Notamacropus eugenii: one gene and its partners. The protein of the gene in region 3 interacts with the protein of the main gene of each other region in a pairwise test. Links are inferred from orthologs where the notes say so. Each region holds a gene or a part of one and is shown on either strand. Other genes may lie near its edges.

Region 1 (6,943 bases), on a different chromosome or scaffold from region 3:
AGACTCACATTTCCTGCAAAACCAAGGTCCAGTGGGTACTTGAACAATGCCATAGCAAGCTGTTAGAATAAAAATAAAATGGTTTTTAACACACACACACACATACATATAAATCTCAAAAGTCATAGAAAATCAAAATCCTTTCAAAATTTTTTCTCCTTTACTCAACAGAATACACAAATGGTGATTTGAAATTTTCCAGTTAACAAGAAAAACAAAGTATGTTTTTACTTAAAATTTTAAACATAACATTGCTTTTTAATCAGTGCCAAACAAGTCACTCCTGTTAAATAGCTCGTTGCAAAGGAAAGACCAAGAGGTCAAAGTTAACACAATTCATGAGATTTTTCCGTGGAACAAAAATTCAGAACTTCATCCTCTCATTCTGGCATAAACTTAAGTCACAGCAAGCACTGCACATTACACTTTAATTAAATGAAGATTTTCAAAACACCTTTTAAAACTGAGCTGACATGACAAAAGGAAAAAATTAGTGTCATGCTAAAATATTATTTAATCCTAACTTTAAATATGTAAATGGAAACACAAGGTTGGCTCCAATGCCTCTAACCGCCTGAAAACAGATAGTGCTCTGAAATACTATCGTTCTATCGTTATTTCTAAATGCATATGTACATATTTAAACTAGTTTAGTCATAACCTGACTTGAAATTTCAACTACAGGATTTTAACGAAATTACTAACAAACCTGACCATAAATCTCAGATTCAAAGCTATAGGCAGTATTAGGAGATCAGAAAAAGAGTACAAAGAACCCAGCAGGTGTGCAGTCCCCTCTAAGCCCTCACCTCAGCCCCCAAACTGCAGCTGGGGAAGGCAGATCGTACTGCACACCCCAAAGGAACGGCTTCCCGGTGGCTAGCGCCTGACAAGTCTTTTCTACCAACGTTTGTGCCCACACGTCATGCCCTCGTGCTACAGCTCCAGGCCCCCAGCTCTGCCCTCCGCCTAGCCTCACACGCTCGCGGACCTCGCGGACGCTGGACGACACCGACCGGCCACCCGAGAACCAGGACCGCTGGCCTCCACGCCGCGAGCGCTGCCCCGCTCTACCCACAGCGCCGCTCTGGGCGTCCGGATCCCGGGGGAATGTCAGCACTAAGTTACAGGGCATGACGGTCCGGCCGGCCGGCTCGCCACACGGACCCGGAGAGCGTCAGCCACGTCTCCCCAGCTAGTCCAGCGGAGGGTTAGAGACCCGCGCCCGGGCTCGGGAAGCAGGCCTGCGCGATGCCTTCCAGCGGCCACGTCACCCTCGCCCCCCACGGCCCCCGGCACGGCCCCCCGGCTCCGCCGGCCGGCGCGCCCGCTCCGCCCTCCGCCCTCCGCCCGTCTCCCAGCTCCGGGCTCCGCCTGCCCGAGGCTTCCCAGGACCCGGCAGCGCCAGGCGCTCCGGGGGGCCGCGGAGGCGCGCCGGTTCTGCCCGACTTCTTCACCCCGCAAAGCCCCGCGGATGACAGCCTCCCCACGTGCGCCCCCCGCCGCGGGACCCCCCGACTCACAGTCGCCCCGAGCCGGTCACCAGTCGGAGCTCCGCGCGGGGGGCCGCCCGCAGCGCGCCGCGCCCCGAGCCCGAGCGGCCCCGGCCGCGCCGCGGGCGCCGCCGCAGCCTGCTTCCCCGGGAACCTCCGGCGGCCCGGCCACCCCCGCTCGCCAGCAGCCCGGGAAGTCTGCCGAGCTCCTGCCAGCCAGCCAGCCAGAGGCAGAGGGGCGGGAAGAGCGCCCGAGAGGAGGGGCGCGCGGAGGGCCCCCGCCCCCCGCCCCTGCCCGGCCGCGGGGCGCCCGCAGCCCGAGGGGCTCCCCGCCCCCTGCCGGCGCGGCCACACGCACCGCTCCCCCGCCCCCGGGCCGGGGCGCGCCGCGGGGGGGGCCGCGGGCGGGGCGCGGGGCGGCGGTTGGGGGAGGCCCGGCGGGCGGGCGGTTGGCGGGGTGTTTACCTTGGTGCACGGCGACGCTGCAGCCGTGCCCGTCGCAGTAAACCAGCGGGTTCTCGGCCCAGCCTCTCTCGTCTGAGCAAACGCAGCAGCCTCCAATCATCTCCTTCATACTATGGGAGCCCTCGTCCTCCAGTGACACGGGCCGGTCGCTAGAGACCATCTGCGGGGGAGGGGAGAAAGACCATTGAGGGGGCAGGGAGCTCACGAGGACCCCCGCCTCCCCTCGAGCCTCCCCGCCGCCCTCCCCTCCCGCCGCCCCCCGGCCTCCCCCGGCCCGAGCCCGCACGCCCGCCCGCCGCTCCTCGTTCGCTCACTCGGGCTTCGCTGCTCAGTCACTCACGTTCTGCACTGGAGTCAGGAGCCATGTCCGTGCTGACTCCCTACCCCCCTCCCCCCTCCCCACCCCCTCCTCGCCTCCTCCTTCTCCTCCTCCTCTCCTTCTCTCCCCTCCCCACCTCCACCCGGGATGCTAACACAGGAACCTGGAGAGGACACACATAGCAACTAGGCCTCCGCACAGGCGCACTGGGGGGCTCCCGCGGGGCAGCGGGGAGCCTGGGAGGGGAGAGAGGGAGCTCGCTTCCTCCTTAGCGTCATCCGGCGTGCGCGCCCGCCTCAGCCCCCAGGAGGAAGAGGAAAGGGGAGGGGGTGGGGAAGCAGGACGTGCGCGCCCCCGGCACGACGCCGCGGCTTCCTTCTTCCCTCCCCTCCCAGGGTTCTTCTTCCCTTCCCCCATTCCTATCCCTGAGGGTGAAGCGGGAGAGGGGGATGGGAGGGAGCCGGGATCACGGAGAGCCTCGGCAGGAGCGCGCCGCGCCGTGCACGCGCACGCGCACGAAAGGGGCGTCGGGTCAGCCTCCCGCTTTCTCGGCCTGCAAGCTCGCCCATGCGGCCGTTGCGGGAGAGATGAGGGCAGCGGCTGATGTCGGCGAAATGTGGGTGAAAGTGACCTCCGTGGCCTCGCCCTCCTTCGGTCTACCTGACGCAGCCCTCCCGGAGCACTCGCTCAGTGGAGAGCCCGGGCCTTCCTCAGGAAGGACGCGCGGCTCCTCGCCCGGGGTTCTGCCAGCTTCTCCGCCCTGCTGCAGCCCCTCGAGCCGCCTCGGTCCCCTTAGGGAACCGCGCAAAGTTAGCAGACCACGTGGAGAGAAGGGCTAGCCAGCCCGGCGACGCAGACGCGCCGGCTGCGGTGACAAACGAACGCTCCTACGTCTTCATCTCGAAGGCCAAAGCCATGTGTTACTGTTGCACATGGAGGGGCTGGGGAGAACGCCTGGCCCAGCCCTGGCTTCATGGCCTGAGCCCCAAGACGTACCGGAGTGCATGTTTGACTCCAAGTGCACCCTGGAATTTTGGTATTATTTAAGTAGACTGAAGGGAGGGAGCTGTCTTGTTACGTGCATATAAACAAAAATGAAATGGACCTAGGTTGTGTAATTAGCATAACAGGACGCAGCACTTCCAAGCTGTGAAATTCACTCCGTGGGAGCACAGCATTCGATTGGAAATGAGATCAGTGTCATAAAGAGACTAGTTTCATATACTTTCCTTCTCCCTAAGTCAGCCAGTCACATAATTTTCCCCTGAAATTAGAATGTATCCGTTGATACTGTTTATTTAAAACAGCAGGCATGGGTGCAAAGCAAGTTTGCAGTTTGGGTTTAGTAACTTGCAAATCGCAGGTGCAGAGTTGGTATTCATGGCAGAATGACAGAATGGAAATAGCAATGATTAGGAAAAAATGTAATTTGAAGTAAAAAAGATGAAGAAGCCCTACTTCTACCTATTCCTCTCTTCACAAAAGAAACATCTTTAATTTCAAAAGCAATCCAAATATTTTTGTAACCCAGAGAAGAATGGAAACAATTTCACTAATTCATTAGAAATTCACAATAGAATTATAATGCTCATACATACACATGTGTAACAATATGGTTTAAAAAAAAGAGCATAGAAACTCACTAAAATCTAATAGACTATAAGAAGAAAATTGAAATTGACCAGATGCTCTAAAGAAAATGTTTTCTCCTTAGAAACATTAATAAATTTAGAAAATTTTATTGCAGTATATGAATGTTTATATGTACAATGTGGCCGCTTCCTTTTGGGAGAGTCATAAATGATACTCTGAACATATCATAGCTATGTGCTAAATTCATTGGTATGTATAAAACTGAAAACTGAATTCAGGTAAAATCACATTGCTTCATATATTCCATTTAACTGTATACTTTATCCCTATAGTAATACAATGGAATACCAGTTCAATACCCAATTGCTGCTCAGACTCCTAATGTGCAGTATTTCTGAGTTAAGATCAATGTGAAACTTCCCTTCTTCAAAAATGCAGTCAAGTCTTAATGCACTAAATTATTTAATAATACATTTGTTTTATTTTTAATGGATTGCAGCTTAGTTCTTTTGATGGAATTAATTTATATGAACAAAAGGATTCCATGATCACTACCTTACAGTAGTAATCTGTAATATTTGGTAGCAAAATTTAGGAAACCTCTTGATAGATGCATAAAACAATCATTTGGAGGAAACCTTTGAAATAAAAACAAAATAAGAATACATTACCTCAAAAAAAGGAAACAAGCAACAAAATCTGAAAATGAACTTTTGTCAATAATATACTTTCTTTAAGCATTGATATGGAAAGTCAATTTTTCATAGAGAAAAATCATCTCTGAAAGTAATTTAATACCTCCATGTATAATTAGAATTGTGATAATCAGAAGAAAATCTAGTGAATCTACATGAATATGAACTTGTTAGCCATATATAAAACTTTTTCTTACAAGTTACATATCAGAAGCATGTTACTTAAGTTTTCTAAAAAGTAAATAGGAAGAATATTAAAAATCTTCATGATACAATTCATACACTAACATTTTTCCTTTATGCAATTCAAAACAATTTATAAAATGTTGCACACTATAGTAGTTCTTGTACTTCTAAATAATTGAACATTATACTTTAGTTCTAAAAATGTTTAAAGATCAATTGCGCTGTTTTTGTCTGGGAGGGATTTTTAAAATCTTTTTGTGCAAAAAAAAAGTGAGAGTGATGAAAATAATCAAAATAGAATTCCTTGATTAATTTAATGAAAATAAAATTTGAAATTTCTTAACACAGTGGTACATTTTTGCTAGATATCTTCTCTTCTAATCTGTCCAACCTTCTCAAAATATGTTGAAAAATACATCTAGTACTTGCTGAGTAAGACTAAAGCCTAGATTCCCTAATATTCCTCTTGATGTAACAGCAGTTACATCACTGATAGCTCAGCTATTCCTGTGAGCTAATCATCTGATGAACACCATAAGAAGCTCAAGGAAAATATTTTATGATTTGACCTGTGACCTAAGCATAATGAAAAATATGAACAATGTTTTTTCTATGGGAAGTAGGTCTTAAAATTTTTTCTTTGTTTTATTTCTTAACTGTTTTGTTGATTTCCTTGTGTATGGGCCTACATTTTATATTACTTTTTAAAAATGTATACTCAGAAGGAAATATTTAGAAAATAATTACTATAGAAAGAGGTTAATATTGTTCACGTTTATCCCTTTAAAATAAATCACTCTTGAATATCTTGTTGGTAGACACTGTAACAACCCTAATCAAAATACATTTTAATCAAATATGTGTATAAAACTAAGAGAGAATAAGCCACATGGTCACTTTTTACAATGTATTTTCTTAAGTCATGTTTTGACCTCTGCAAATGGTGTTTTAAATGGTATACTGGCTCAGATCCAGCAATTATTTCTAGACATAATCAATAATAGAGTTCATGTAGCCACATAACCTTACTTAGTCTTGCTTCACATTACTGAAGTTAGAAAACTTCAGTTAGGAAAAGCCAGTTCTGCTTTACATAACAGGCTATACTTACAGACAATTCCTACCACAACGTGGTTCCTTAATTAGAAAGGGGTTTCGGGGGGGTTTTGTTTTGTTTTTCTACCTATTTGGTCTTCAAGAATCCAGACCTTTTATCTAGAGACTTGATAAGAACACATTTATTTATGCCAGTTTGGGTAAAATAACTTTAAACCGAGCAACTTACACGTTATTTTGGCATGCTATATTTGCTCTATCTACAGATATTCATATCTTATAATGTGTATCTCTTTAGATACACACATATGTGCCACATGTATATTATTATAGTATTCCCAATGTCCTAAGTGGTGTCTTAAAGTAATTATTTCAATGGGGTTTTTATAATTGGGGTATCACCTTTCTTGGCTTTTGGCAAATTCCATTTAAGAAAGAGTAACAGACTTACTAAGTAGCCTTCAAGTGCCTGGCACATAGTAGGCTCTCAATAAACATTTACTGAATGAAGAAACAACGTTGATATTTAAATTTTAATTTCAGGTCCAGATTTAATGTTAAGTGTGAAGTAATATTTAGTTTTCTAAGAACAATATTAAACTAAAATTTCTAATTAAAGAGACTATTAAAATGAAAATTCCTGATGGACAATTAATTTCTTTAGAGATTCTCTACTGTTTGAGATGATAGGAAGGATTTTTATTTGCCAGGTGATTTGTAATTCTCTACACTTAAACAGTCCTCAAATGCTAAACACTTTTTTTGTCTATAAATGGTAATTATGTTACAAAAGACCTCCAAACTTCAAACCGTCACAGTGAATATTATTGTGTTAATCCCAGGAAATCTCCAGTTAGCAAATGGGAAAATTTAAATTACATGCAATTTAAATGAAATACTTTCTTAAAATCAGAGACTAATATTCACTTGGAAAGTTTGATTAGACAAATATGAGAGTAGAATTGGGGCTGTTGCATTTGAATCTGATTTCTGATAATGGGGTTATATTGACTAGTTCCATTTTTCTATCAAATACTACGTAATTAATTACCAATACAGGGAGTAAATCAGAAGCCTATTTTCATATTCTTTTCTCTCTCACATAACCTGGATAAAAATTTGAACCCTTCACTATG
Region 2 (7,336 bases), on a different chromosome or scaffold from region 3:
TATGCTCATGGGTTTCCCAGGGCTCCACTCAGGCCACCTTTCCTCTGCATCTAAAAGCTGACCTATACAATAGACCTGCTCACAAATCTTTCATGGCTTCATAGTTCAAAGTTTGCTGCCCGACATTCAAGGCCCTCCACAGACTTTCCAGTTTCCTATAATACCCATCCCCTTCCCCAGCCAGACTTTTAATTTTTATTCTATCTCCAAGCACAAGTTTTCATACCTTAATGGCTTTATAGGCTATTCCCCAAATTGCTATGTTTTTCCTCTCCTTTATCTGCTGCATTTCCGCCCACCCCTTACAGCTCCACCTGATGACTTCCTTGAGGAAGTCTTCCCTGATCAAGACCTGGTACAGAATGATTGTCACCTTCACATCTCACTTGGAACTTCTCAGAGCAGAGCTAATGCACCTACCATGGAAGACTGTATTCTAAGGTGTCTTTCTTAGGTTCCTACTAGACCAGACTGCACAACTTGGCAGTAGGTAGGGGCCAAAATTAAAATAGGCTCAACTTCTTCTAGTCACAGATAGGTTCATACTAGAGACAGATCCATGATGGTTGGTTGCTGCGAGTCATACGACAAACAGGAGAGTGTGCAGTGACAATTCTACATTTTTCGAGGGCTGCCTGAAATCTTTTGATGGACTGCAAACAGACCTATATTAGACTGTAAACTTTGTGAGGAAAGATTAATATCTTAACTATGGATATTTTCCCCAGAACCTATCACCATGTTCTATGTTACTGTAGAGTACAACATATTTAATGTCGGTCATTTTTATTTCCTACTGCCTGGGACCATAACTTTATGGTGAGAAAGGTCATTCATTAGAGATTATATAGTCCAACACCCTCATTTTACAGATGTGGAAACTGAGTTCCAGAGATGTTAAATAATGGGACCAAAATCCAGAATTTCTTGTTGTTACATTTGTTCTCCATATAACCTAGAAATCAGATTTTTTTAAAGTCTCTTCCTATTCTCACAAACCATTATTCCCTTAGGTACGATCATCCCCTCATACTAGAGTACATGGCCCAGACCTCCTTCCTTCTGTAACACTCACCAATGAATGAACCTGTTTCTGGTGACGGAGAACAACTTGCTGCTTTCCAAGTAGTAGAAGCCGCCCGCGCTCTCCACATACTTCACAGCTCCGGACAAACCCACGAGTTCTGCAAAGGGAACATCGGGGCAGTTCAGCACATGTCAGAGCTGGAAGGGACTCTGAAGCACTGAGTGTCAGGTGACCTTAGAGCCTAGAACATCAGAGCTGGAGAGGGCTTTGGAACGCAGAATGTTAGAGCTGGAAGGGACTCTGAAGCACTGAATGTCAGGCGACTTTAGAGCCTAGAACATCAGAGCTGGAGAGGGCTTCAGAACGCAGAATGTTAGAGCTGGAAGGGACTCTGAAGCACTGAATGTCAGGCGACTTTAGAGCCTAGAACATCAGAGCTGGAGAGGGCTTCAGAACGCAGAATGTTAGAGCTGAAGGGACTCTGAAGCACTGAATGTCAGGCGACTTTAGAGCCTAGAACATCAGAGCTGGAGAGGGCTTCAGAACGCAGAATGTTAGAGCTGGAAGGGACTCTGAAGCACTGAATGTCAGGCGACTTTAGAGCCTAGAACATCAGAGCTGGAGAGGGCTTCAGAACGCAGAATGTTAGAGCTGGAAGGGACTCTGAAGCACTGAATGTCAGGCGACTTTAGAGCCTAGAACATCAGAGCTGGAGAGGGCTTCAGAACGCAGAATGTTAGAGCTGGAAGGGACTCTGAAGCACTGAATGTCAGGCGACTTTAGAGCCTAGAACATCAGAGCTGGAGAGGGCTTCAGAACGCAGAATGTTAGAGCTGGAAGGGACTCTGAAGCACTGAATGTCAGGCGACTTTAGAGCCTAGAACATCAGAGCTGGAGAGGGCTTCGGAACGCAGAATGTTAGAGCTGGAAGGGACTCTGAAGCACTGAATGTCAGGCGACTTTAGAGCCTAGAACATCAGAGCTGGAGAGGGCTTCAGAACGCAGAATGTTAGAGCTGGAAGGTTTCTTGGAATATCGAATGTCACGGTAGGGGAAACTTTAGAACGTGGACTGAAGGAGCTGGAGATTTAGAACGCAGCCCCTGAGGGGTGGGAGAGGACTGGAGCACTGGCCCCTAGGGGCTGGAGGGCCTTAGAACATAGAAGGTGAGGGGCAGGGGGGCCCTAAAACGCGGCCCCTGAGGAGCGGGGGGGGGGGGGGGGGGGGGGGGCCCTTAGAACGCAGCCCCTGAGGGGCGGGGGGGGGGGGGGCCTAGAACGCGGCCCCTGAGGGGTGGGGGGGGGCCTTAGAACGCAGCCCCTGAGGAGCGCGGGGGGGGGGGGCCTTAGAACGCGGCCCCTGAGGGGTGGGGGGGGCCTTAGAACGCAGCCCCTGAGGAGCGCGGGGGGGGGGGGGGCCTTAGAACGCGGCCCCTGAGGGGCGCGGGGGGGCCTTAGAACGCGGCCCCCCAGCGGCGCGGGGGGGGGGCCTAGAACGCGGCCCCTGAGGGGCGCGGGGGGGGGGGCCTTAGAACGCGGCCCCTGAGGGGTGGGGGGGGCCTAGAACGCGGCCCCTGAGGGGTGGGGGGGGCCTTAGAACGCAGCCCCTGAGGAGCGCGGGGGGGGGGGCCTTAGAACGCGGCCCCTGAGGGGCGCGGGGGGGGGGGGGGGCCTAGAACGCGGCCCCCCAGCGGCGCGGGGCCTCAGCACAGCCGGTCCAGGCCTCTCACAGCCCGGGCTGTCACAGCGCGGCCCGCTCCGGTGCCTGGGCCCAAGCCCCCCGGCACGCACGGGGACACTGAGGCACGGAGAGGGCCGGGGTCCCGGGGCTCGCCCAGTACCGGAGCCGCAGACGGTGAAGTCCCGGAAGCGCCGCTGTGTCTCCCGCTCGGCGCCGCACAGCTCCACGAAACTCTTCTCTAACGCTCCCGCCGCCGCCATCATCCCGCCGCCGCAAGGCCCGACGGGACGCGCGGGCCCACCCCTCGGCCTGGCGTCACTTCCGGCGGCGCCGCGAGGCCCTGCGAAGCCTCGAGCTCGGCCAGACTCGGCGCCTGGCGGGCCCGGCGGGGCGCAGGAAAGGATGGAGCTTCGCGTCCCCGGCCAGAGCCTCTCTCGAGGCCATTTCCGCCGGCCTCCCCAGGGGGCGGGGCCGGAGCTGGGGCATTTCCTTGCGCAGGCGCAGAACTGATGGGGGTGGTGCTGCGTCTTGGTAGGGCGGGAGGGCAGGAAGCTGAGGCGCATTATGGCAGACTTAGAGCTACCCGGACCCGACAGGCCGCGTAGCCGCCGCAGTCTCACTTTACAGATGCAGAAGCTCAGGGCCAGCGAAGTTAAGTGACTTGCCCACGGTCCCACACGTGCTTAGCCCCAGCGGTGGGAGGTGAATCCGGGCGCCGCCGGCGGGCCCAGGGCATAGCGCCCTCCTGGAGTCGGGAGGACCTGAGTTCCAGTTCCGCTTCAGACGATTAGCTGCGTGACCCTGGGCGAGTCGCTTCACCCTGCTTGCCTCAGTTTCCCAGCTGTCCAATGAGCTGGAGAAGAAAATGGCCAACCCCTGCAGAATCTCTCAGGAAAACCCCAAATGAGGTCGCAAGGAGTGGGGTATGACTGAGCACGAACGGCAGACGCTCCCCAGGGGGGCGTCCTGGAGGAAGTGGGGCCGGCCAGAGAAAATGCTGGGTCTTGTCTGGTCTCTGGATGGAGGAGGAAGGTGTGGGAAGATTGACTGTCTCTGACCTTTGTATCCTCAGGGCTTAGCACCTCGTAGGCTCTTCATAAATGCTTCTTGACTTCTTGAGAGAAAATTGGAAAGTGATCATTTTTTAGGGGTTCTTTTCAGACTTCATAATTTTCTTCTCTGTGCATTCTCTTGGTCTTTATGGCTACTTTTTACACGTGTGTCTGTTTTAGGGGCTTTCCTTGGGTGCTCGGTATTATTCTGAAACAGACGTTTATGGAATGCCAGCTGTATGCAGAGCACTCTACGGGGCCAGGGGAGGTGCTATGCTATACACTATGTAAATCAAAGCTGTTTGGTTGTAACCTTAGTCAGGTTACAATGTATCCAAATGTGTCTGATCAGACTCATATGAGCTCCGAATGCCCTAGCGCAGGTGGGACACACATAGGAACATTTGGACTGGGTTCTTGAGTTTGCATCTCCAGTTTCTTTTGGGCTGCTTCAATTCTGCTTTGCTCAAAGTGCCTAGAACCTCTGATGAGGGCACACCATGCTGGGTGGTCCTGTGTCAGCATCTCGTAGTCATATAAGCAATTCCAAAGTTCTTCAGAGACATCTTGAGAGCGTCCTTCTGACCTCCGTGTAAGAGCTTGCCCTGTGTGAGTTCTCTGTAAAATAGAATTTTGGCATTTGAACAACGTGGTCAGTCCATCATAGTTGTGCTCTCTGCGGTACATTTGAATCTTTGGTAGTTTAGTTTGAAAAAGGACCTTGGTGTCTGGTACCTTATCCCACCGAGGTGATCTTCAGAACCTAAGACAATTCAAATCGAAGCAATTCAGTTTCCTGGCATGGCACTGGTATAATGGCTCTGTAGACCTTCAGTCTGATCTACAATGAATACTTCTCCTCTCTCACACTTTCCTTTGGAGCCCCTGTAAGAGCAAGCAAAGTAGGATTTTTGTTGTTTTCTTTTTGGAGTTCAGTTTCCTAGGCTCAGGCTAAATTGAGAACATCTGAATGCTCAATCTCCTTTGAACCCCTCTAGTTCACAGCTGTGCTGAGTTACATGGGTTGTGATGCCTGCTGGCTCTGAGCTTATTAGTTGAAAACTATATAAACTGGGAGGTTGGTATTTTTGTGGGGGGGGGGGGTTAGTTTATAGAAGGACCTTTGGATTCTTTGGACGGGACTGAGTAGCTGTTTGTTAAGAACCCATGGACTACTCAAAGGTTTGTGTTCACCCATCTGGTGGTGTATGTAGGTGGTTGTCTTACTTTGTTCAGACAGAGAGAACTGTGTCTGTTGAATCTTTGTGCTAATTCTCTGCTTATACTTACTCTGTATTTTCTCCACATTCAGGGTGCTAACCTTTCCCCTGAACTAGTGAATGACATATATGCTTAATTAAAGAAAGATTGTTAAAGCTGTCTTTCCTGTATAAAGCATATCAAAGAACCTGTGCTAGCAGGTCATTCTGGATATGCTAGGGTGCTTGGTAATACAGCCTTTCGAACTCTGAGCTAGCTCTGGCAATGGGTGTGTCAACTTCAGTGTCAATGTGTACATCCCTAGAAAGTATATTGACAAGGTAATCAAACTTATTTATCCACATCATTCAAAACTCCATTTGCTGTAGCCGATGATTCCACCTATGGGTGGTATGGTGCTGGCTGATGGAGTACTTGTGTTTTCTTGGTGTTGGTTGTTAGGCCAAAATTAGCACAAGGAGCAAAAGCACACATTACCAGAGCTAGCTCAGTGTTTGGGAGGTTCCAGAGTACTGGTGGAACCATTGCTCATTTATGATATGTAGAATATTGTATAGTAAGTACAGTGCTTGTGAGGTCTGGAGGGGAAGGTGGTTAGTGAAAGAAGGATAAGCCTCCATGGAAGGAAATAAGCTCCTTAGTAAGATTTTACAATACACTCCACTGGGGCAGGGATTTTTTAAACTTGTTATTTCTCTCAGCCCAGCAAAGTGTAGACAACAGGAGCTTAATGCAAGCTTCTTTTGAATTTAATTCCTCTGTGGTAATGAAATGAATACAGGACTTTGGGTTCCTTGAATTGTAGATGGTTAGTAATAGCATTTCTTTAACATTTGATCCGATCCATTTTGAGGTTTTTGATCAATTGGTATTTATGACCCTCCTTCTAAATATCAGGCACTACACTAAGAGCTGAGGATACAAAGAAGTCAAAGACAATGCCTACCCACAGAAAGCTTAGTCTAATGGGACAGACAACAAACGTACAAACAGGCTGTATAGAGAATCTCTATCCCAAAACAATTTGAAGTAACGAGTTTTGAACAAGGAAAAGCTCATAATACTTGGTGTCCCAAAATCTTAGTACACTTTTAAGCTATTAAAGTTATATGTTAAACATCCTGCATGATAGAATACAGTTTGGGGATCAACATCATAGAACAGGGGTGGGGAACCCTGTCCTAGAACAATAGGATTTTATTGTCTATTTATTAAAACTGCTTGTATTCCTCCCCTAGCCATCCAAAGGCCAAAAGGCTTCTTTCCTCTAACCAGTCCCCTAATAATTACACTGGATTAGCAAAATCACTTATGAAGCCCATTATTGATGTGCTAGGGACTACGCTGGGAAGGCAAACACAAGCCGAAACAGTCAGAAAGTTAATCACCTGCTGCATGCCAGGCGCCTTGCTAAGTGCTGGGAATTCGAAGAAAGACAAGACAGCCCCTGCTCATGATGGGATGCCAACTGCTATGTGGAAATAAGCTCCATATAGGATGAATGAAAGATGGGGGAGCGGAAAAGCGGGGCTTTTACTTTTTCACACTTTTTAATTTATGGAATAAAAAGCATTTATGTAACACAGCATAATAAAAAGATGATTGCCCATGAAACTGCAGCTCTGTTATGCATGGCTTGTTGTTCCTTTTAAATTTAGAATAAAGTTAGGTAAATTTCTTTTTTCTTCTTTTCCTTCCCTCCCTCCCTCTTTGCCCTAAGGATGGCTACCATTAGACACAAATAGGTATATATGTATATATACATATACATATATGTAAAATTTTTCTATACATACTTTTATTTATCAGTTCTTTCTCTGGATGTAGATAGTATCTTTCTTCATGTATCCTCTAGCGCTAATTTGGATATTTATCACAGTCAAGATGACTTATTCACTTAAAGCTGTTCTTAAAACAATGTTGCTTTTCCTATAGACAATATCCTCTTGGTTCTACTCCTTTCACTTTCCATTATTTTATGCAAGTCTTTCCATGTTTTTCTAAGATCATTGAGCTCCTTCTTTCTTGTAGCACAGTAATAGTCCATCACAATCATAAACCACAACTTGTTCAGCCAGTTCCCAGTTGGTAGGTATCCCTGCAGTTTCCAGTTAGCTGGTACTTAAGAAAGCCAGGGAAACAAAGAGGTAGAGATGAGGAGGGAGAGCATCCCATGCATATGGGAAATTGAGGGAAAATGCCAACAGGGGGGAAATGGAGTTTCTGTACAAGGTGGAGAAGTTGTCCAGAGAGTCTGAGGCTGCTTGAGAGCGTGGCTGGTGTGAACACTTCCTCAGATGGAGGTTTTGGGGAGAAATCCTTTCAGAATGCGGAAGAAACTGTCCTTAGAGGATTC
Region 3 (7,990 bases):
ATCTATTTTTCAAACAAAAAGAGTCAACAAGATCATTTCAAGCATACTGGGGGAAAAACAACTTGTAAGATTACAATTAACTTGCTCCTTTCATTTCTAAATATTTTTATTGAGTTGCTTCTCCAAACCAAACCAGGAACTGTCATTTCCTCTCTGTGACAAGCACAGTCATATCTGTAATGCCTTTCTGCCCTATCGGTTTCTAAAATATTTACTAAGTGCTAGGTTTTTAGAGCATTCTGTGATATGTTGCAGTTTCTTTTCTTTGAAGAATCTATATTAATCACTAAGACTGGGTTCCTCAGTTGCTTTAGATGCCTAATATTCAAGCATCTCTTAGTTTAGAGGAATAACTGGACAAGTGAGCTGTTCTGAATTGAAATCCTACCAAGTCAGCAAACTTCTCTGAATCTCAAGGTCCTCATCAATAAAATGAGAATAATAATCCCACAGGATTGTTGTGAGGATCAAATGAGAAAATGTATGTAAAGTGCTTTGTGAACCTTAAAATGATTGTTATTTCCAACATTCCATCATCTAGGCTTTTCAATAAATTGAACTGGCCTTGCACTATTTATTTTTTCGAATGTCAGTCAACTAGCATTTATTAAGCTCTTTTATGTGCCAGGCATTGTACTAAGCTCTGGGGATAAAAAGAAAGGCAAAAATCAGTCCCTGCTCTCAAGAAACTCACAATCTGATGGGTGAGACAACATGCATAAAACAGTGTGCAAACATGAGATAGATATATATATACATATGAAAAAATATATATAAATATAGGATAAATTGGGAATAGTCTCAGTAGAAATTCCCTAAGTTTGGGGAGAATTGGAAAAGGCTTCTTGCACAAGGTGGGACTCAAAAGAAACCAGGGAAGCCAGAGGTGAGGAGTGGGGGCATTCCAGGCCTGTAGAAAAGCCAGAGAAAACTCTGAGTCAAGACGGAGGGTTTGTTGTAGGGTAGTATAACCATAACCCACTTTAGCATCATATGAAACTTTTGAATTCCTTTGCAGACACTTTCAGAAGGAAATGAATTGAGTTAATTGAATTCTTCAGAATAGTCTACCTTTAATGAATCTAGTATCAGCACTGCCGCTAAGAGTTTATTCTTACCACCTGTCGGGGACCCCTGCAGCGAACCTTGGTAAGCGGTATGTAGTGCTGTTAAATCAGATGTGGCACCCCATGAAACTGTTTACGTTGCCCGGGTCTGGGGTCGGTAGCGGGACTACATTCTCTCAATCTTCTCATCACCTCCTTTCTAACCTTCCCTCTTCCATTCTCCTCATTTCCCGAGCCTCACGTCATGACTAGTCGGTAGGGATGGGGCCCCAGAAATCGAAGCATGGTTAAGAACTGCTCTTGCTGATCCGACAGAAGTTGGGGAACCTCCCACCTCCTTCCTAGCACTACCGTGCTCTTAAGTCCAGCGTGCCCTGCCCCCACGTCAGCGGCCGCCAACACAGGGAAGTTAGGGAGGGGGTCAATGCACAGAGAAGGGCTCTTGTCCAGTCAGTTTCCTGCAATTGATCTAAACGAAAACAAAGCGAAGCAGTTCCCGGGTTAACACGAAAAGCCACACACCCACCCGCGGACTGGGAGCGCTGCAGGCTGGGACTCGGTCCAGCCCCGATCCCAAACCACGCTGACTTACAAAACGCCTACCAGCGCGCAGGCAGAGTGCCCTCCTTCTCTGGTTCTTAAACCAAATAAGAAAATAAGCGCGTACTCGTTAGGGAAAGGAGCTTCGGTGCTGGGCACCCGCAGAGGGACAGGCGCGCACTCCCAGCCGTGACCCTGTTTGTCTCTAGGCACGGCCCCCGCACGCTCTGTGCCTCAGTTTCTCCCCGCTGTAACGGGGCGGTAGAAGTTGCCATTGTTACCTTTGCCACTTCCTGGATGTCAGTTACTTCTCCACACCCACCCAGCCCCCAAACTGCTAGGCGGTTTCAGTTCCCCGCTCCGCTCGAATCCCTCTCCGAAGAACCGTGGTGAAAGCTCCAGCCCGACCCCCACCCCACCCTTGCCCGTCCAGGGGAGGGGAGAGGAGTGGGAGAAGCTGGAGGGACCCTGCTCGAAGTGCTGTCCTGGGTGGCTGTGGAGGTCTCTTACCAGGGCTCTGACCCCCGCTGTTGCTTCTGCCGCTGCCCCTCAGTTGCTCAGGGCGCTCGCCCCAGGCGGCCGGGGCACCCCGCTGCCCCCTGCCCAGCATCGATCCTCCCTACGAGCTCTGCTACCCCCGTTGCTTCCTCTCCACGCCCGCCAGAGCTCGGGGAGTGGGAAGCCGGGGGCGGGGAGGGGGGGGGCTCCAGCCACGCGGGGCTCCTCCTCCTCTTCTCTCCCTCCGTTTCTCCGGCGCTGTCTGCACGGTCTACTCCCCTGGGGACACCCGGGCCTGGCCCTTCAGTCAGAGAGGCATGAAACGAGAGCTGGGAGAGGAGTTGTGAGAAGAAGGGGATGGGGGTCAGCAAGGAGACTGCTTCCTTCTCCAGGACCGTGATTTCTGTGAGATTTCCGAGCTCTCTAAGCACCTCCAGCACCCCCCTTGAGCTTCCCCAACTTCGGTGGTGGGGGCCCCAGGCTTGCCGAAAGTTTGGTTTCTGCTTTTACTAAATCCCAGCTCTGAACCTTGGAAGAGAAGAGCTTGGATGAGAGAACGAGGATATAGAATTTAAGGATGAAAGAATATGAAGAGTATGGTATGGAAAATAAAAGGGAATCCCCCAGCTTCCAAATTTTGGGAAGGGTAAAAACATAGGCGTGTGAGGTGGAGTAGAGTGGGAGGAAATTTCGAGGAAAAGAATGACTAACTGAATGAAAACAACAACAACTTGATATTAAGACCAGCAATGTGCCAGCTATAGCCTACTGGTTAGAGTAGTGGAAGGTGGGGCAGTGATAGAGTGCCCAGCCTGGAGTCAGGAGAAATCTTCCTGAGTTCAATCTGGCCTCCTACACTTACTAGTTGTGTGACCTTGGGCAAGTCACATAACCCTGTTTGCTTTTACCCTCATCTGTAAATTCAGCTGGAGGAGGCAATGGCAAATCAGGCCAGTGTCTTTGCCAAGAAAACTCCAAAGAGCATCACAAAGAGCCTAAGACAGTAAATTGCAGAAGAGGTGTTGACCTGCATTAGTAGAGGGACTTTCCTCACCTTCCTTACTTGGTAGTTCACTAGAGCCTAATACCCATCTTTAGGTACTAGTGATTCAAATACAAAAGTAAAACTGCTTCTGTCCTCAAATAGCTTATTTTATAACAGTGTGGAGCAACACATATAGGAGAGTCATAACCAAAGAAGGAAGTTTTTGTCTGAGAAGCCACAAGAATAAAGAGTGGTTTCCAAAGGACTCATGATGAAAAATGCTATCCATCTCCTTAGAGAGAACTGAAGAATTCTGAGTGCAGATTGAAGCAGATTTTTTCACTTAATTTGTGTGTGTGTGTGTGTATTTTCTTTTGCAGTATGGCTAACACGGAAATATGTTTTGCATGACTTCACATGTATAATTGCTATATTGCTTGCCTTCTCAGAGGGTGAGGGAGGGACCAAAGGGAAGAAGAGGATTTGGAATTCAAAATTTTTTAAAATGAATGTTTAAAAATTTTAATGTAATTGGGAACTATGAAAGGAAATAAATAAAAAAATTTTGAAAAGATAAAGAATGATGAGTAATGGATGGCCCTGTCTTTTCCTAGAAGCACTGATAGTACTGATTTGATCACTATTCCCAGGAAAAGAAATGGCAAAATGTTCCAAGATGTCTGATTTGGGTGAATTTGAGACTGCTAGATGTAGTTACTTGAAAACCAAGAGCTGAACCCCAGGATGGAGCTCCAAAGCTGAATGGGTTAACTCACCTAAAAAGGACATTTGGTCTCTTTTCCAAAGAGTGTGCTGTTCCAGGTAGAAAAAGGAAATAGTGACAAGATAATGGCAAGATGGGCAGAAGAAGGTAGAATGGAAAAAATGGGAGCATAGGTAGTAGCAACCCTACAATCAAAGTAACCTAAACAAAATTCAGGCATCTGAATTCTCATCAATTTCCTAATGCCATTGCAGTGGGTCTGTCACTACCCCAGATGTCTTTGACCTCTCCTTAAGCTCCTAGGCTAACAGAATACTCATCCTAGGGGTTGTTTATTTGTTCCTTCAACAAACATTTAAGTGCGCTTATAGGCAGTGGAGCACATAAAGACATGGATCAAGTGATAAGGCAGTTAGGTGATTTCAGACCTAGTTGACCAGATCCCAAAAGTATTGATGGGGATGTCTATGCCACCTTGGAGGGAGATCTCAAATGAAGATCCTAAGGAATCTGTCCTTGGCTTTGTGCTGTTCAACATTCTAATCAATGACATGGAGGAAGGTATAGATAACATGTTTGTAAAATTTGCAGGTGACATGTCAAAGAAAGCAACAACCAACATGTCAAAAGACAAAAAAAAAATCAAAAAGGTTTCAATAAGATAGAGTAATGGGCTGACTCCAATTAAGGAAAATATAACAAGAATGAGTAGAAAACATTGGCTGTAACGATATAAAAAGATTTGAAGGTTTTAAAGCAATGGTGTCCAACTCAAAAAAAAAATGGCAGTCACTAAACCATACATAAGAATCTCCTCAACCACATATTGACTTAGTTGTTGTCTGTTGTATTTTTATTTATTTTGCTAAATATTTTCCAATTACATTTTAATTTGGCTTAGCTGCACCCAGGAATACTATGGGCCATGTTTTTGACATCTCTGTTTTCGACCTTTACAAGTTCAATATAAGGCAGTCAAAAAAAATAGGATCTTAGACACAGGAAGAAATAATAAAAGGAAGCAATGGGTGATTAGGTCTCAGCAAATAAGTGGTATGGATTTAAAAAGTATACAAAATTCAGGGGAAAGAAAGTTCACTTGTGTATAGGAAAGACTTCACAAAGAAGATAGGATTTAAGCTGAAGCCTGAAAAATGGAAAGGATTTAGCTGGATGGAGAGGAAGAGAAAGGTCATTTTAGGGGGGATAAACAGCATGAATGTATCTGATCTTCCTTTCCTTCCATGTACCACTTTACTCATGTTGGAGAATGGTAGTGGCCTAACTACCTCATGCTGAGACAAGGATCAATAAGGTAAACTAGAAGTTCTGTAGATACCAAGGTTTAGCTAGATTTCAGTGTTCAAGAAGGAAGACTCTTAGTAGATAAGGTTGGAAAGGTTCAGATAGTGACATCCAGAATGCCAGGTTTAGGAGCTTGAATCCTGTCCTATAGGTATCAATTAGCCATAAGAAGTTTTTGAGCAAGAGATAGAAATTAATCATGATCAAAATCAGTGTTCATGGATATGTGCATGGCACTCTATTCATATAAAGAAGTGTTGCATTCTCTTTGGTCCAGAAGCATGGCATGATTTTAAAAGATTCATCTGGCTGCAATATTTAGAATATGACATCTGGAGTTTCCAAATATGTCCCTACAGGGATGGAGAAGAATATCAGAAACATCACCCTGGTAGAATGCAACATCAAATAATATCTGAATGATCTTATCAAGACATATTTGCCTTTCTAGGGAATCAATTTAGTGTAGTGAGAAGACTAGACTTGGTATCAGTCAATCCACTACCATTTATTAAATACTTATTATGTGCCAACCACGGTGCTAAGTGCTGAGAATAGAAATAGAAAGAAAGGCAGCGTTTACCCTCAAGGAGCTTACATTCTGATGAGAGAAGACAATGCATAAAAGGAAGTTGAAAAGGGGCTGGAAGGAGAAAAAGGTACCTCATGAGGGAGGCATAGTAGAGAAAGTCCTAAGCAAAACCTAGAGAGGAATGAGACATCAGTGGCCTGAGTGCCTTCCTTAAATAGAGGTTCTAAGAGGAGCCATCCAATGAGAGGAGGAAGAAGCCACAGGAGTAGAGGGTACTTCCAATATGTGAATTCCAAGGCTACAGTGAAGATTCATGGATGAAGAACTGGGATATGGTGAGGTTTTAGAATAGTAGAAGAAATCTGGAGTACAGTCTGAAGAGGAATGAGAATTAGGAGAGGCAGATTTTATTCCCCCCTCTGATATTTACCAGCTCCATAACTATTGATAAATCATGTCATCTATACTATTAATTAATCATGTCATCTATCTGAGCCTCAGGTTTCTTCACTAGAAAATGGAGGAGATACCTACTTCATGTGTTGCATTGAGAATCAAATATCATGGACTCCCCAAAACTACCCCAGGTCTGAGGTACTTTGTAGATCAATACTCATTCAAAACCATAGCTCTTGAGTCCCCACTGATGAGTGAATGAATAAACATTTATTAAGGGCTTACTGTGTGCCAAGTACTATAATTGATCTTCAACCAGGTCATGCCTACCAACAGCAGATTACCCCTAGGGCTATTCTCCATTTCTACATTTTCACCTGGTAATCTCATCAATTCCTAAGGATTCAGTTTTCATCTCCATGGTGAAGATGCTCAGATCTGTTTGTTCAGTCCTAATCTCTCTCTTGACCTCAAGTCTAACTTCTCCAATTGCCTACTGAACATCTAGAATTAGATGTCCTGTGGACATCTTAAATTGAACTCATAATCTTCTCCCATGCCCTCTCCCTAACTTTCCTATTGCTGTCATCCTACTAGTCAGCCTGACTCAAAATCTAGGTGTCATCCTTGACTCTTCATCCTCTCACTACCAATTTTACTTTCCTAACATTTCTCCTATATGTCCCATTCACCACATGAAGGGAAAGAGAATAAGCATTTATATAGTGTTTCCTGTATGCTAGGCACTCTCTTAAGAGTTTTTTTTTAATTTTATAAATACTATCTCACTTGATCTTCACAACAAATCTGTGAGGTTGGTTCTATTATTATCTCTATTTTACCACTGAGGAAACTGAAAGGTTAAATGTTTTGTCCATGGTCATACAACTAGTAAGTATCTGAGACTGGATTTGAACTCAGGTCTTTCTGGCTCCAGGACCAGCATTCCATATAATGTACTATCTAGCTTCCTTTAAGCAGAAAGAGGAGGGGAAAGGAAGAATCATTTACATAGCACTTGCTATGTGCCAAGCACTATACTAGGTGTTTTACAGAGATTATTTCATTTGATCCTCACAACCACCCTGTACCGTAGGTGCTATTATCATTCCCACCTTACAGGTGAGGAAACAGAGGCAAATGGAGACTAAATGACTTGTCCAAGGTCACAAAGTTAGTGTCTGAGGTCATATTTGAACTCAGGTGTGGCTGACTTCAGGTTCAGTGCCCTATTATGCCATCTAGCTGCCACTTAAGAACGTCTACTCAGCCAGTAAGTTTGCCCAGAAGATCCAGACAGGGTCTTCCTAGCTATTTTTTGATATCACAAAGATACTAAAAGAACACAATCAATTAATCAATATAGACTTATTAATGAATTATCATTTGTGCCTGTCATGTACTAACTCAATTTTGGGGTTATATCTTGTATATTTATTAATCATAACTCCTTTATTATAGTGTGTTACAACTTACACTCATAACGTATCTTACCCATATATCATTTCTTTGGACACTATTGTTCCATCACTTGCAGTTACACAACAGGATATTAGTGTTTTAAAAGGCAGCTTTTGTTTCAAGGAAAAACTTTGGGTCATTAAAAGAACTTTCCAGTTTCCTGAAGATAATCCATTCTGCTCTCCTTCTGTTCAATTCTGGGCTCAATTTATTATCTTTTTCCTGTGTCTGCCTGAAATTCATATATTGATAGAAAAACTCTATAGGCTATCCATCCTGCTGCATATCATAGCCTGGACAATAGGAATTCTTCATCTATTTGTTTTTTCCTGTATCAAGAGTAAGGCTGAAAAAATGACCTATTTGTACAAAAAATATTTATAGCAGCTCCTTTTGTAGCAGCAAAGAACTGGAAATTGAGGAGGTGCCCATCAACTGGGGAATGGCTGAACAAGTTGTGGTATATGGTTGTAATGGAATGC
Region 4 (7,335 bases), about 86 Mb from region 3:
ATTCGCCGTGAGTTACTTCCCTGTAGCCATTCTATGGGTTGTGGGTTCAGAGCTATGTGTATGTGCGTCTTTCTACTCCGCCATCTTGGCTCCGCCCCCCCAAAACAAATTTAAAAACTCCAACATCAGAGGGAGGAGCATGACATGAAGAATGTAAGGATGATTATAAGAAAGAATTAAAAACCTGTGATATAGCTGCGTGTGTGTGTTTATAAACATAGAAAAAAACAACAATTTATCTGGAGGAATAAAAAGGCAAGAATCTCAAAGGAAGTAATAAAAAAAGTGGGAAGTAAGGGAGATTAGCATTAAACAAAATTACATGCAATTACAAGGAAAAGCTTTTCCTCTTTCCTCAAGATGGAATTAAACTACAAATCTGTAATCATCAAAATTATTTGGTAAAGGTTTAAAAACTAGGAGATACAAAATAGGCACTTAATAAATGTTCACTGATTAGTGGAACAGATTGGGCATACAACATATGGAAGCAAATGAACACAGTACCATAGAGTTTGATAAATCCAAGGACTAGATGCTGGGGAAAGGATTCACTATTTGAAAAGAAGGAAAAAAAAAACCTACTGGAAAAATATGAACTGTTTAGCAAAAATTAGACATTGACCAACATCTTACACCATGTAACCAAGATAAGCTCCTAATGAATATGACTTAGACATAAGCTTAACATTATAAACAAATTGAGAGGAGCAAGGAAGAAATTTCCTGTTGGGTTGGGCCTATGGGAGAGAGAAAGATCATGACCAAGCAAGGGACAAAGATGTCAAAAGAAAAAGTGGACAATTTTGATTATGGAAAATTTAAAAGGTTTTGCACAACAAAACCCGTGCAGATAGGATCAGAAAGAAAACAGTTAAATAAGGACAAATCTTCGCAGGAAATTTCCCTGATACAGGTCTCATATTCAAGATATTTATTCCTAAGAACAGCACCCATCTCCCAATAAATAAATGGTTAAAAGCTATAGACAGTTTTCAAAAGAATAAATCCAAGTTATCAATAATTACATGAATAAAATTCCTGAAATCACTTAATAAAGTAAATTCAAGTTAAAGTAACTTTGAGATCCTATCTCCAACCCTTCGGATTGGCAAAAAAGACAAGAAAGGAAAATGACTATTGTTAGAGAGGCTGTGGGAAAATACGCTTACAAATAAAAGTATTTGTGAAGTTTTAATTTTATCTAGTCATCATGGAAATCAATTTGAGAGAGGGAGAGAGACAGAGAGAAATTATATGTAAGTTTGTCTAGGTTGATAATCACAAGAGAAGAATGACATCTCTGAAAAGGAACTGGCAGAGAGAGTGGGTAAAATTTTTACTTTCTTTTTATATAAATTATATGTTTTCATAGTCAAATAATTTTTTGTAAATACCCATATGACTCACTGGGCACAAAACCCAAGTAAGCTGAAACAGGCATAGTTCCTGTCCTTTAGTACTTTACAATGAAATTAAGCTATAATTATTCTGTAGTCTTAGTTCTGAGCTCCTTTAACATCCCCATTCTTTTGATCTCAACAACTCAGTTAAGTCAGTCAGTAAATATTCACAGGATGCAGGGTACTGGTAGCCTTAGGTGCTTTGGGATATATAACAAAAATTAGATACAGTCCCTACTCTTCAGGAAGCTTACGTGACAAACGTGCGATCAGCCTAAGTGTATATAAATACACTAATTTCAAGAACATCCCAGAGGAGAGTTAAGAATTGTATTGATGACTGAAGACTGCTTGCTGTTACTTTTGGAAAACTTTTGCAGTGATTTAAAGGATAGGAGTGAACTCCTTCCTTAAAGAGGATGGAAATAAATACCCTATTCTGTGCCCTTTGGGCAGTCTTGTTCAAAATGAAGAGATGGAAAAGGAAGACCAAAGTATAAAGGGCAGCAAGAAGGTTAATGTGGTTGGGAAAATGTGGAGGGTAGGTAGGAAAAGAAATGGGGAAGGATTGAATATCAGAACATATAAAAAGGATGGGGTTATTTAACTGGTGAAAGAGACTTGAGAGCCATGACCAGATGTTGTCCCAGGGATCAGAAATTGACACAAGATCCATTTAGAGATGTTACATTGTTGCTGTTGTCAGTTTTCTCAATTATGTCTGACCCATTGGGGGTTTTCTTGGAAAACATACTGGAGTGGTTTGCCATTTTCTTCTCCAGCTCATTTTACAGATGAAGACCTTGAGGCCAACAGGGTTAAATGACTTGTCCAGAGTCCCACAGCTACTAAGTATCTGAAGCCCAATTTGATCTCAGGAAGAAGAGTCTTCTTGACTCAAGCCTGGCTCTTGATGCGCTATGGCACCACCTAGCTGCCCTAGAAGTGTTATAAACTACAAGAAAATCAAGAGCAACTAGGCGATTGGAAAGTGAAGACTTGACAGTATCACGGAAGACAGAAGACGTATAGGACAAGAAAGAACAATTTGCTGACACGTCTAGTGAGGTGAAATTAAATTTTTTTGGTATAGATATAGACTCTGTGTGTGTGTGTCTGTGTGTTAAGTAACAATGAAAAGACATAATAAAAAAGTATTTTAATTGACTCGTCAATTATTTCCTCATGGGACAGATAACTTGAGCTTAAAGAGAAATTCAATTTACTTCAATTCAACACGCCTTCATTGAGGGCCTTCAGTACGTGAGTGCTTAGACAAGAAAACAAAAAGTCCTCAATGAGTTTACATTCTGCTGTCTGAAAACTACAGGTGCCTGGGAAGCATCTGAGGCTTAAGATAACAGAAGAACCAGTCCTTCAAACACACTCAGAACCTTTCAACATCAATAGCCTCTGCTTTCTCACGAGCCTTCCTTACCTGGTTACGGCCTTTGGGATGTCATCAAAGGGCCACTGAGGCCCAAAGAGCCCGCTTCCACTGCCTATTAATGCAGTCATCTTCCCACCTTTCAAGTTAACCTGAGCTCACATTGCACACCTTACTGCAAAGGAGTCTTCAGTTGAAAAGGCATTTCAAAGAAATCTGCTCCCTGATGACCTCCCCCCACCCCGCCTTGTTTACAGCTGGCGTGACAGAGAGGGCAACAACTATGACATCATCACACTCCCAGTAAGCTCTGGATGAAGAGGGAGACAAAGTCCCACTATGACAATGGCATTCGATCTCTTTACGTTTCTCCTTTCTCATTCTTTTTGGGGCCCAAATTATGTTTTGAGAATCCAGTGAGATAAAGCAGTGTGATGTATCTCACTCAAATGTGTTTAATAATGATGTAGTTGTTATCCAAATATATGTTTCATTTCAGTTGGACAGATATTTATTGATTGTATTTCTACTATGTGAAAGTCACTTCCCAAGGAGTCACGGTGGACACAAAGACACATAATGATACGCAAGTCTCTGCCCTTGAGGAATTTATATTCTAAATGTAGGCTGTATAGAAGAAGTATATACAAAAAATCAGTAAAAGGAGTAGAAAACAGAGACTATGAAAGTTCACAGGAGAGATGGGTTACATCTAACTGAGGGAGCCCAAGGAAGAATACCTAGATAAAGTGATATCTGAGCTGGACCTTAAAGGAAAAACGGAATTTCAACTGACAGATTTAAGGGAGAGAGGACATTCTCATCACAAGAAATACTTTGAACAATAGTCACAAGTGCTAGATACATCAGGCTATATTCAAGGGACTATAACCATCCCCAGTTAGTTGGAGTAGAGGACATTTGAATGAGATGAATAGCAAGGTAAGAACAAGAATGTAGGTTGGAGCAGGGTTATGGAGGGTCATGAATTCTAGAATAAGCAGTTTGAAATTTATAGATGGGAATCTATGGGAAACTATAGAAGGTTTTGTGAAAGAGAAATGTGATCAGGTCTATTCGTTAGGAAGATCAGTTTGGCAATGTTATATAAGGTGGATAAGGCAAAGAATATGAAAGTGAGGAGATTAGAATCATAGAACAAAAAAATTTAGAGTTAAAATGAACCTTCATGGACGTCTATTCTAAGCAGTTCCTGGGTAAGAATCTCCTCTAAAATAACCCAAAGTAGTCATGCAGCTTTTGTCTGAAAATTTCCACCAAAGGAGACCCACCACTTCCCAAGGTAGCTTATTCAACTTCTGGACAGATCTAGTTCTTAGGAAATGTTACCTTATATCAAGCTATAAAGTTCACCTACTCATTCTCATACACCAATGATCTCTCCTTTAAAAATGGCTCCCAGACTAAACGTAATATTTTCACTTCCTTCATTTTTACTTTTAATAATGAAGCCCAACATTATGTTAGCTTCATTACTAATCATATCATTGTTTCTATATTTTTTTCCAGCAATATTCATTGTCCAACACATGGTTAGTTTTATATGTGTATGTATATACACATATATGTATATATGCATACACACACATATATGTTTATATACACACATACATAGGAATATGTGTGTTGTATCTATATGTGTATGTATTTGTGTGTTTGTTGTCTCCTGGATAATGCAGTGATACTTTCAGCTGTGCTTACCTTCTAGCATGTTCTTATATGGTGAACAATTTTTGTTCAACTTATCGGCTCATCTCTATCATGCTGTCAGAAAATTTCATTTCGGGGTTTGAAATATTCAGTGAATTTGGAGCTAGAGGGAGCACGTTGATTGCCAAAATTCTTCATTTCAGAACAGGACCAACTGAATATGGAAAATGGTTTTGTAGCAGCAAGTTACAGAATCATGTAATTTTAAAGCTGGAAGAGAGTGACAGTTGACACTGATCTTGGCTGTTGACAGAAATGTCCACTGGAAGCAGGTATTATGTTATTTGGTCACTGAGGAGCATGTACTTGTCCTATTATGGGTTACAAGACCAGAAGGAACATTGGAGATCATTTTAGTCCAAGCTTTTCTTTTTACAATGAGAATATTGGGCTCCAGAGAGAGGAGGTTAATATCCCAGGGTCATGTGGGTAGTATGTGTGGTTGGGATTAAAATCCAAGTGTCCTGACTCTAAATCTAGTTTGGATTCCGCTCTCTTCCACTACTTCTCTTCATTTCTGCAGATAGAGATCATCTTGCTGGGGTACTTGAAATAGTTACAACTTTCATCACAACAGCCTTGTGGAAGGAAACTCTAACTAAAGAGGAAGAAAGAAAGAGAAAAATAGTATGCTTTAGTTTTTATTAGGTGTCATCAGTTCTTTTTTTGGAAGCAGCATCACGAGTCCTTTGAGATTGTGTTGAATCATTGCATTGCTGAAAATAGCTAAGTCATTCATAGATGTTTATTGTATAATATTGCTGTTACTGGGTACAAGGTTCTCCTGGTTCTGCTCACTTCACTTTGCATCAATTCATATAAGTCCTTTCCAGGTTTTTCTGAAATGATCCTAATCATCATTCTTATAACACAATAATATTCCATTACAATTATATACAACAACTTGTTCAGCCATTCCCCATTGATGTTCATGCTCAAGGTGTCATTTTTGACCTCATAAGTATCACCAAGAATTGGTGGAATGAGATCTATAACTGGAATAAAGCTATGGAGGAATATACCTTATCCCAAAGAATCATGATAGCTAAGACGGGGGAGGCAAGAGAAATATTGGATACTAATTTATCACTTAGAGGGTACATTTGCTCACAAGTATTGTCCAGTATATCCTGACTCTAGGTACTTTCATGGAATAGCAACCACTCCATGAGCTATAACTAATGGGACATATTTTGATCAAAGCAAAAGTATTTAATAAAATAACATAATAAGAAAAGAAGGTATGGAATTATCCTCCTCTAAAATTGGAGCACATTCTCCCTCAAATATACTCACCATCAACAGGAAAAATGGACATTTATAGATCTCAGACATGGGAGAGCATACTTGTAAGGGAAAGTATGTGGCTAGGATTTGTATGTGTTCAGTTTAACGCCTGATAATACAAGGCTACTGCTGTTCTCTGGTGATGCCATCATATTGCTCTCTTTTCTTTCTTTTGGGCATCACTTTGTTGGTATCATGAGTGCCACCTGGTTTATAGTCTCTTCTGGGCATTTTCCTCTCTTCCTTCCTTCCTTTCCTTTCCTTTCCTTTCCTTTCCTTTCCTTTCCTATCCTTCCTTCCTTCCTTCCTTCCTTCCTTCCTTCCTTCCTTCCTTCCTTCCTTCCTTCCTTCCTTCCTTCCTTCCTTCCTTCCCTCCTGCCTGCCTGCCTGCCTGCCTTTCTTTTTTTTTTTTTTGCAACTCCTACGCATTATTCCTAGTTTTACCCTAGAGGACAAATAAAAACAAATCTAATGACAGTTCTTCAAATATCTGAAAATAATCGGTGCATTCTGTCTTCTCTTCTCCATATTAAGTACCCTCATTTCATTCAACTTGTCCTTAAAAGAATTGAACTTCCTGATGATTCTTCTCTGGATAAACTTTAGTTTGTCAATGCACTTCCTAAAATATGGCACCTAGAACTGAACACAGTACTCTAGGTGAATTCTAACTAGGGTAAAGCACAGTGAGACTGTCACCTTGCTAGTCCTGTATGCTATGCCACTCTTAATGTAAACTAAAATTCCTTAGGCTTTTTTTGACTAACATATCATACCACTAACTGGTACTGAGCTTGCATTCTACTAAAACCCCCCAGTTCCTTGTAAAATGAACTAATTTCTAGTCATTTCTCCTGTCTTAGTTAATTCTAATTTTAAAATTTAAAACTGATTCTTTGCATCTCAAGTATAGAAATATCTCATTAAATTTTATTGTATTATATTTGGCTTAGCATTCTAAACTGTTGAGCTAATTTTGGATCTTCTATCCATCTCAGTTTTGTGTCATTAAAAAACTTGATATGTGTCTGTGTCTTCATTCCAGTCAATGATGAAAACATTGTCCAACATAAGACCTTGCACAGATTTACATGTCATTTTATCAGATGTCTCCCTCCAAGGTGACATTGAAACATCGATGGTTCCTCTTTCATCCCAACTAATTCAACCAATTCTGTATCTAACTGACTATGATGAACTCTAGCTCATATCTCTATCTTGTCTACAAAGATAGAATGAGAGGCTCTGTAAAATGCTAGCTGAAATCTAGGTAATCTATGTCTACAGATTTCCCTTACTCTATTAGCTTATTAACTTTGTTAAAATCAGACAAGGTGAATCTGGGATGACTCACCATGTTCATTTACCAATGGGCTGACATACTCCTAGAGGAACTGACTCATCAATATTGACAATCTTACTATAAAAGATAGTAAAGTAGATAGGAAGTTGCAGCTAAATGAAAAGACTGTCTTTGGAGAGACACATTAATGCATTTGACAGAGGTGGTTTTCTTTGTATTACCAA

Evidence for each region.
Region 1: the proteins of DISC1 (region 3) and MLLT10 interact in a two-hybrid assay, tested with the Homo sapiens proteins (2 studies listed by BioGRID and IntAct). The link is inferred for Notamacropus eugenii from reciprocal best matches to the Homo sapiens genes DISC1 and MLLT10.
Region 2: the proteins of DISC1 (region 3) and NUP160 interact in binary tests that used the Homo sapiens proteins (3 or more experiments, as listed by UniProt). The link is inferred for Notamacropus eugenii from reciprocal best matches to the Homo sapiens genes DISC1 and NUP160.
Region 4: the proteins of DISC1 (region 3) and KIFAP3 interact in a two-hybrid assay, tested with the Homo sapiens proteins (2 studies listed by BioGRID and IntAct). The link is inferred for Notamacropus eugenii from reciprocal best matches to the Homo sapiens genes DISC1 and KIFAP3.

The regions. Positions count from the first base shown.
Region 1 is NC_092874.1:62,279,067-62,286,009, reverse strand, and holds the start of MLLT10 (protein AF-10), read right to left. Parts: upstream 3,019-6,943; 5' UTR 2,938-3,018; intron 2,595-2,937; exon of another isoform or gene 2,273-2,594; intron 2,119-2,272; coding exon 1,959-2,118; intron 1,600-1,958; exon of another isoform or gene 1,524-1,599; intron 1,398-1,523; exon of another isoform or gene 810-1,397; intron 60-809; coding exon 1-59. UniProt on the Homo sapiens protein: Probably involved in transcriptional regulation. In vitro or as fusion protein with KMT2A/MLL1 has transactivation activity. Binds to cruciform DNA.
Region 2 is NC_092877.1:3,199,598-3,206,933, reverse strand, and holds the start of NUP160 (nuclear pore complex protein Nup160), read right to left. Parts: upstream 3,006-7,336; 5' UTR 2,971-3,005; coding exon 2,868-2,970; intron 1,185-2,867; coding exon 1,076-1,184; intron 1-1,075. UniProt on the Homo sapiens protein: Functions as a component of the nuclear pore complex (NPC). Involved in poly(A)+ RNA transport.
Region 3 is NC_092873.1:390,008,393-390,016,382, reverse strand, and holds the start of DISC1 (disrupted in schizophrenia 1 protein), read right to left. Parts: upstream 3,015-7,990; 5' UTR 2,218-3,014; coding exon 2,118-2,217; intron 1-2,117. UniProt on the Homo sapiens protein: Involved in the regulation of multiple aspects of embryonic and adult neurogenesis. Required for neural progenitor proliferation in the ventrical/subventrical zone during embryonic brain development and in the adult dentate gyrus of the hippocampus.
Region 4 is NC_092873.1:476,273,344-476,280,678, reverse strand, and holds the start of KIFAP3 (kinesin-associated protein 3), read right to left. Parts: upstream 3,007-7,335; 5' UTR 2,922-3,006; coding exon 2,842-2,921; intron 1-2,841. UniProt on the Homo sapiens protein: Involved in tethering the chromosomes to the spindle pole and in chromosome movement. Binds to the tail domain of the KIF3A/KIF3B heterodimer to form a heterotrimeric KIF3 complex and may regulate the membrane binding of this complex.